Xenopus tropicalis: one gene and its partner. The protein of the gene in region 2 purifies or fractionates together with the protein of the main gene of each other region. This does not show direct contact. Links are inferred from orthologs where the notes say so. Each region holds a gene or a part of one and is shown on either strand. Other genes may lie near its edges. The genes, in order: robo1 and usp33.

Evidence for each region.
Region 1: the proteins of usp33 (region 2) and robo1 purify together in Homo sapiens (affinity purification with western blotting; 5 studies listed by BioGRID and IntAct, with this or other methods). This does not show direct contact. The link is inferred for Xenopus tropicalis from reciprocal best matches to the Homo sapiens genes USP33 and ROBO1.

The regions. Positions count from the first base shown.
Region 1 is NC_030678.2:25,240,937-25,245,229, reverse strand, and holds the start of robo1 (roundabout homolog 1), read right to left. Parts: upstream 3,043-4,293; 5' UTR 3,028-3,042; coding exon 2,802-3,027; intron 1-2,801. UniProt on the Homo sapiens protein: Receptor for SLIT1 and SLIT2 that mediates cellular responses to molecular guidance cues in cellular migration, including axonal navigation at the ventral midline of the neural tube and projection of axons to different regions during neuronal development.
Region 2 is NC_030680.2:80,321,417-80,325,945, reverse strand, and holds the start of usp33 (ubiquitin carboxyl-terminal hydrolase 33), read right to left. Parts: upstream 2,984-4,529; 5' UTR 2,874-2,983; intron 1-2,873. UniProt on the Homo sapiens protein: Deubiquitinating enzyme involved in various processes such as centrosome duplication, cellular migration and beta-2 adrenergic receptor/ADRB2 recycling.

The DNA of each region.
Region 1 (4,293 bases), on a different chromosome or scaffold from region 2:
CACTAAGCTTGCCCAGGAGCAGTAACCCATAGCAACCAATCAGCAGGCAGCATTTACTGGTCACCTGTTTAAAAGCACATATCTTATTGGTTGCTATGGGTTACTGCTCCTGGGCAAACCTACTTCCTTTTATTACATATGGGGCATAGACTATTATCCAACATAGGCTGAAAGATTACTAGTATAGACTAGACCCAGCTCTCACTAAATCAGCAACATACAACTATGGGGCAGATTTATCAAATGTGAGATTAGAGCTCACCACGGAAAAATTCACCCACTTTCTATTCATTCCTATGGGATTTTTAGAAGCATACACTTTGATAAATCTGCTTAACTGAGAGTTATCAAATAGTTGTTATTGGACCACAGCATTGCAGTTGAATACTTATTTCTTTTTCCTTCTCTTTTCTAAAGGTCTCTCTATAAAACTAACATTTTCCTTTACTATGAAAATACAAATGATAAGCATTGCTTTTTACTTTGAGAATAAGACCCTAGCTCAATGAATGTTGCAGTTCCCTACTGATTAATAGCATGAAGCTATGTGAAATCCATCTCTTGGATAACTGCTACAACAACAAAAAGACACAATTTTTTAGAAAACCCCTCGTATCGAACAATATCTCCCAGTGAATAGATTCGCATGTCCGCATTTGAAGAATGTAGGCTGCTATTGTCATCTGGCGAGCCTGGCTTCGTGGCAGCAATCTAAATATTGTCAATCATGTCTGTCCTGCTCTTTGTGACCCAATCTGTACAGCGAGCATTAAAAAAAAGAACAAAAGCTCTCGTCTAGCACAAAAACAATTTCCTGCAAAGAAAAGAAGTCACAATGCAGCATAAATGATGTGCTTGTGACAGATTAACGGAGGTGCGCCGGTAACAATGATAAAAAGTAGCTCCTCCCAACAGTAAATAATATTGAGGGTATATGGATATACTTCCATAGCAGGTGGAATTCAGGGAAATGATTTGTAGATCTGGGAAATGGCTTGATGTATTAGTTAAGGGGGGGGGGGGCATGCTAATGAGCCTAATGAATATGATAGGGAGACCCGAGTGGGTTTGTACAGTTGAAGGCCTAGGGCAATGGAACCTTTCAAGGCTTTGATGGATCTTTGTTATGCAAAATATATCATTGCAAACTGGGAGTATAAAGAAAAGGGGCCAACGCATTAGGCAGATTAGATGACAGTCCAATACACTTTACAGAGATGTCAAACCCAAGGTCCCCCATTTCTTGGGAATTGCAACTTGACATTGAGTAAGAAGAATGATGGGATTTGTAGTTCTCAACTACTCCGTGTTGTGGTGGGGGGAGCTGTATTAATGAGGACATTTTAAAAATGTAACTCTTATTATTTACACTTGTTTTTTCTATAATGAGCACAATGAACCTGTATTGTAGTGCTACTTGCTGTTGCTCAAACCACTCATGTTTAGCATGAATTCAATTACAAACTGACACCAGTTGCAACCAACCAATCCATATTGTTGAGCTTATTAACAGATATAACACATACAACTAGCTGAGACAATGAAACACTTACAGGAGTCAGATAATGAGACACCACAACTCTAACCTATGAAACACTTTGTTGGATCTTCTTCTCCCTGGAATTTAATTTCACCCAAAGGCACATGGAAAGGGCACCATTATTGCTGCTCGGTTATACAGGGCACCCTTTCTTGTTGTGTACAATACCCAGGCACATTGAGACTATTTTTGGATATATAGATAAGGGACCTGTTATCCAGAATGCTCGGGACCTAATGGATCTTTCTGTAATTTAGATCTTAATACCTTAAATCTATTAAAAATGAATTTAAATATTAAATAAACCCAATAGTAATGTTTTGCCACAAATAAGGATCATTATATCTTAGTTGGGATCAAGTACAGGTACTGTTTTATTATTACAGAGAAAAGGGAATCATTTAACCATTAAATAAACCCAATAGGGCTGTTCTGCCCCCAATAAGGGGTAATTATATCTTAGTTGGGATCAAGTACAAGGTACTGTTTTATTATTACAGAGAAAAGGGAATCATTTAACCATTAAATAAACCCAATAGGGCTGTTCTGCCCCCAATAAGGGGTAATTATATCTTAGTTGGGATCAAGTACAGGTACTGTTTTATTATTGCAGAGAAAAAGAAAATCATCCTTTTTGGATAATGGGATTCTGGATAATGGATCCCATACCTGTATTATGTATAGGGAGCTAGGAAGTGACACTGGATTTTCAAAATAAATACCTTACTTTACATATATTTGGCATTTTCTTTAAAGTGTCAATCATTGCTATACTAGGGGTACATCATAAGCAAGCTCCTTTCATGACTTGATCATTTTCTTCATATGTACCATGGACATTTTCACATCCTACAAGGCATACCATGTTAATTGCTAAATGCTGTACTGTTGACTCCATACACAGGTATGGGACCTGTTATGCAGAGTGCTCGGGACTTGGGGTTTTCCAGATAAGGGGTTTAATTCCACTAAAGCTCATTTAAATGTTAAATAAATCCAATAGGATAGTTTTGCCTCCAAAAGGGACTAATTATATCCTAGTTGGGATCAAGTACAAGGTATTGGGTTTTTATTACAAAGAAAAATGGAGTCTATGGGAGATGGCCTTTCCATAATTTGTAGCGTTCTGGATAACGGGTTTCTAAATAAAGGATCCCATACCTGTATAGTAATTTTTGAAAATATCTACCTTAATTTTTCTACAATGTTAAAAAGAATCCAAAGTAAGTGAAAGTGAGAAGTTCAGAAAGACCAACCCTACCTGTATAGACCAGCGAATTGTCATCATGATCAGATGTAGGAAGTGCCGTCCCGCTGTCCAACCCCCGGTCAAGATCATCGGAGTCTGTTGAAAAATATATCAAAGCCGCAGATGGGGTCACAGTGGCAAGAGAAAATGCAATTTTGTTCCAAACATTTCCAGTTACATGTAGGTCCATGCATGGAAGGAAGACATGAAGCAACAGCAGAGATGGAAGTCTCATCATGTTTAGGAATCCCAGGGCACTTTCATGAATATCTTATTTCCTTCACTTCTCTTTCTGGAGTTGATATCTGCACTTGTCTTAATGGTAACCTCTCCACTGCACCTTCCCTGCTGCCTCTCAGCATGGGGACTGGCTGGAGTGCATGGAGTGCATGCTGTGAGGCAAGAGGTGCCGGCACTACTGAGCATATGGAGAAGGCAAGGCAGGGTGGCTGAATGCCGGCATTGCTAATTTTCTACCTTATTGTTAATCAAAGCTATTGACTGTGATCACTTGCCATCATCGCTGCATCTCATGACACTCGGAGCCCCCTCGGGAGTTACTCTTTGTTGGGACAGCGGAGGGGGGAAAAAAAAGAGAATCTTGTGAAAGAAGGGGAGCTGCAAACTAAGAGCTGTTTATAGCAAACAAAAAAGAGGGAGGGCAGCAGGCCAGAAACAGCTGTGGCATGAAATATTTCATTGTAACTAGATAAAAAGATGTGCCAACTTTATGTGAGATTGGTAAACCAGAAAATTACCTTTAGAACTCGCACACCCAGATGGACACTGACGGCCACACCCACACAGACACTAGTAGCACACAAACACAGACACTAGTAGCACACTAACACTACACACTGACACCAGAAGCACACACACACACTGGCACCAGTAGCACATACACAAACACTATGAGACACCAGTACCCTACACACACAAGCACTACAATCCCATACACAGACACTAGTAGCGCACACACTACACACAGATACCAGTAGCACATACACAAATACTTATAGCCTACACACTCACAAATGCGGACACCTGTAGCAAGCAGACAAACATATACACCCACCAACAAAAACTCAATTACACATAACTGTAAACACTAAGCTTTAGGATACTGGCACTTAAGGAGATAAGTCTTTGCTACCGCAGGAAGGAAACCTCAGAAAAATAAAGCACCACGTAAGTTTTCCCACTGGCGATTTACATTATTGGCAGTAGGAAAGAATTTTGGACTGATTAGTCCTCCGCGATAGTGAACATTTAGCGGGCGTCTAATCTCCATGTGTGCCAGTACCCTTAGGCTGGAGATCTGAGAAATTGTCTAATTTCATGTGCTATATGTGAAGTAGAAAATTACATTTAGATCACTACATGTAGATCTACATGTAGATCACTTACATTTAGATCACTATCACTACTAAACACTATGTTAATGCATAAAAAGTAACCTGAATTCTTGGTTAGAAGATCTATGAGTCCCTAAGCTAAATGAAAA
Region 2 (4,529 bases):
AAAACGCCTCATGGCAGCAGCACACATTTGGCAGTGGTAGTGAACATTTATCCCCATGGCTATTAATTAGGAAAATAATTGTGATGCAACATGATCAGATATAAAATTCTTACATATATGTCTACTAAGGTAAGAGCGTAGCAAATCCTAGTTAAAGGAACAGTAACACCAAAAAATGAAAGTGTATAAAAATAATTAATATATTATGTACTATTGCCCTGCACTGGTAAAAGTTGTGTGTTTGCTTCATAAACACTACTACAGTTTATATAAATACCCTGCTGTGTAGCCATGGGGGCAGCCATTGAAATTGAAAAAAGGAGAAAAGGCACAGGTTACTAAGCAGATAACAATAAGTAGCATAGATTCCCATTGTATTCTTCACAGTTATCTGTTATCTTCTTATGTAGCCTGTGCCTTTTCTCCTTTTTTCAATTTAAATGGCTGCCCCCGTGGCTACACAGCAGCTATTTCTATTAACTACAGTAGTCTTTCTGAAGCAAACACACAACTTTTACCAGTGCAGGGCAACAGTACATTATATTTTAATTATTTTAAAACACTTTTATTTTTTAGTGTTACTGTTCCTTTAAAATGCCACAGAATACAAAGGTTGCAGTTTCTCATTAGGATGTACACAGATTATTGATCTCTACTGATTAGGCAATACATGGGACTGCTGCTAACAAAACAAATTATTAATTTAATGGCCAAAAATTTTTTTTTAATTTTAATATTCTCTTTACACGGATATACGGAGAGAGAAATAAGACTTGCATCTAAAAATGTTACATAGAGTTTCAAATTGCTGACCATATATACACTCTAAACTGCTCTTATGTGTGATGCTAGGAGTCTGCTCATCCCAATCAGGGCACCTCTTTTCAAATTATTCTTAAGCATAAAAAAATAATTTATTTATAATACACATATAGATCATTTTTAGCAGCTATGGAAATGTAAAATGTATTAACTAACTACATGGCACACAGATAAGTACACCAAAATCAAATTTTTCCATACAGTCAAAAGGAAACCTGGAACAACCTAATGAATTAGAGATTCTTATGGTAATTGAGTAGAATTCTCTTGATATCTTTGACAAATATGCTGTACTGTTAAAATCCATCCAGGGTGCCACCTGAAGAAGATTGTTTTTTTTCCCACCAAAATGGCGTGGGTTTTTTTCCGGGTAGTCCTGGTGAAATGCGGATGCAAGAAAACCCAACTCTGAATGCTCACGAGTACAAGCAATTAGCAAATGCATTTACGTGCCCTCAAACCTATGTCCCAAGCACGAATCGAACTACTGTTTCTCATGAGTATGAGCCCTTAAACACACGTGTACTATTCTGACAGCAGGCAAATCAATTCCTGATCTATACTTGATCTATGTAGGCACCTAGGCGCAAGGGAATGCAGTCAGGGGTAAACTGCCAAATCAGCTCGTATAAGATGAATACTACTGTTTTTTAGAGCCAGTATGAGCAAAAGAGAAAATAGAAGGGTATGCTGTGAAGCTTAAAGCTGAATATTTTAGGGCACATTAAAGGAAAATACTGCTTTAAATAAAAAATCATGGATTAGTGATATAGTTTACCAGGGAAAAATGTGAGAGGAAAGACAGTACAGAAACGCAAGCATCTTAGGATGAAGGTATATCCTGTGCACAACAAATTAAGACAGGAGCCAGATGGACATCTTTCTAGAAACATTTAATTGAAGCGACAGTGCACTTACACAGATTTTCCAGTTACCCCTGGTATATTAGCAATATCAACCCAAACTAACTAGTACTGCATGGAAATGGCCCATGGTAATGAGTATGGTAATGCAGGTGAAGCGTTAATAAACACAATGTTAACTTGAATTACTGTTTAAATAAATACATACATATCAGCTGTGGGCATGCAGACATTTACATTTCTAAATAAATATAAACACCTCAATGGTGCAATATCCAGTGAATTCAAAGATTTCTTTCAGTATGCCTGTATACACTGGCACTTATATTGTAGTGTCACCCACTACTGACCTACAGCACTTATATTTGCCTATTTGTGTCTGTAAGTTACCCTCCCATATAGATTGTAAGCTCTACGGGGCAGGGACCTCCATCCTCTTGTGTCCTCGACTCTTAACTTATTGCAGCTGTATTTATTGTTATACTTTGTATTTATCTATTATTATCTTATTAACACCCCGTTTGTATTAATGTATTCTACTGTACAGCGCTGCATACAAAAGTAGCGCTTTATAAATATATACATACACGTACATTTACGTATAAATACATCTACCAGCTGCATGTGCATCTAAAACCATACATTGCTACATAATCATGTTAGCTGCACATATAAATCAGCCACATTAGTTACTGTGTCACAATAAACTGTTAATTAAAAGCAAAGCACTAAAAGTTATTGGAAGAGCACGGCAATACAGGTTAAGCGTTGATAAAATCACTAAAGTACACTGCGGCTTAGGAATTCACCAAAGGTTCAATAAATAGATCTACAGTAGGTTTACAGCAGCCCCTCTGCCATTTGCCAGAATATCCAGATTGCCAGTTGTGGCCTGTATACTGGCTACATGTAAACATAAACGTGCAACTCTAAATAATTACATCAGCAATGTGGGCATGACAACAAGTATAGTATAAATATGTGAATCATACCTATATTCAGAAATATACATAAGCCATCTATCAGTTCCATACAAATACGTGTATGCAAATGTGCATTCTACTTCAAATATATATATATTTATATATATATGAGTTAAGTGTAAAAACCCAACTACGTGAATGTATAAACATCAAAAAATAGCATGTATGAATTGTACTGTATGAACAGTTTGACATCGCTACTTACACGCCCCGCAACGCCGTCAATAGCAAGCTCCTTGGCTCCTGTCTTACAGGAAATCTCGGCGTTACAAGTCTCATCACGCGAGACTTGGCGTCACGACTACACGTAAACGCAGCGATGCGTCACATGACGCTTTGAGGTAGTGACGAGCGGGTACCTCAGAGTTAAGATGGGTGTACGCCGCAAACTTGTGCCCGGAAAAAAATTACATCTTTGCTACTGTTAAAGTCTCTTTTCCCGGAAAGAGTTTTTGTGCAGACTAGGTTAAGGTGAAAATAAGTGTTTTTGCGGAAGCCAAGACCAGACTTAGGGAACAAAAAAAAAAGGGGGGAAGGAAAAAAAAATCCTCATAGGTGCCGGCAATGGCAGGTTGAAAAGAGTCAGTCAACAAGGAAGTAATTTTTTTTCTGCTGACAGCTTCTACCTGCACCAGGGAAGAAGTAGTGAAAAAAAAAAAAAAGGTTTTTCAGGTTGCCAACAGTACCTGCAAAAAAGGAAAGTGGATTTTGTGGAAACTAGGCTAGGCTAAATAAAGTAATCTTTATTCTTTTTCAAAGGCCATACTCCGTATGGGAGTTTAAATGCCCGTGCATGCGCGCTTGCGTCGGCGCGCGGGGGAGGTTTGTTCGTGCATGCGAGGGTGGGGCCCCCAGTGTTTTTATTTCCAGGGACAGAACAACAGATAATTTAGGAGAGGATGGGGCACATATAGTAAAGGGTGAATTGTCTATTTAGGCCGAAAATTCATTAAAAAGGCAATTTGCGGTGCATTTGTCTCTTCACACTGGCGAAGAAGTGCAGCGCTAGAGAAACTTTGTGCCTCTTTGCCGAGCGAATTTTCGCCCATGCAAAGAAGTACAAATTTGGTAATTTACTAATAGGCAAACGTTTCTTTCTCCTTTTCGCTAAAATCCATTTCGCCAGCTTCTAGCTGGGGAAGTGATTAAAGGAGAAGGAAAAGTTAAAAAAGAGTTAATCTCAAGCTGCAGGCATACCTTCAGTTCTCTCAATAGTGCCCTTAAGTCTCCCCATATTTCTCCATTCAGATGATCAGACGCCTCAGGAAAACAAAACTCTGAGCTCTGTAAAGAAAATTCCCATAATGCCTCACTCCTGCACCAAGACCGGTTTACATGCTCAGTGTAAGACTATGAGGAAGCTTCCTGCTGATTGGCTCATATTACACATTCCTAAGTGGGGGAGGGAGTTCTTCGCATTCTTGTGGGAGGGGAGAGCTGCGTGTCTCTGGCACAGGAAAACAAACAGACAAGAAATCCTGTGTTCCTTTTAATAGAGAACTCAGTGCAGCTTTCTGTAAGTGCTTATGGCTGTATTTACATAGACCTTTCTGATAAAGCTTACTTAGTTTTTACCTTTCCTTCTCCTTTAACCTAGATCTGCACAGTAACTGTATTAATGAAAGGAAATCCCGCTTTCCCCCAAAAGCGTCATATCTGGAGTCAAAACGCATGTGTTTTTTTTTTTCTTATCTACAGTGTTATTCTGTATATAAGTTGTTAATGTAAAACCTGTTTTCCCCCAATTTTTTTTAACTCCTGTATTGTTACTGACTGCATTTCACACATGCTGACTGGCAGCCTCCCACAAAGATTTGTTTTTTGAAATGAAATGATCAAATGATTCAAAATAAATAATAGA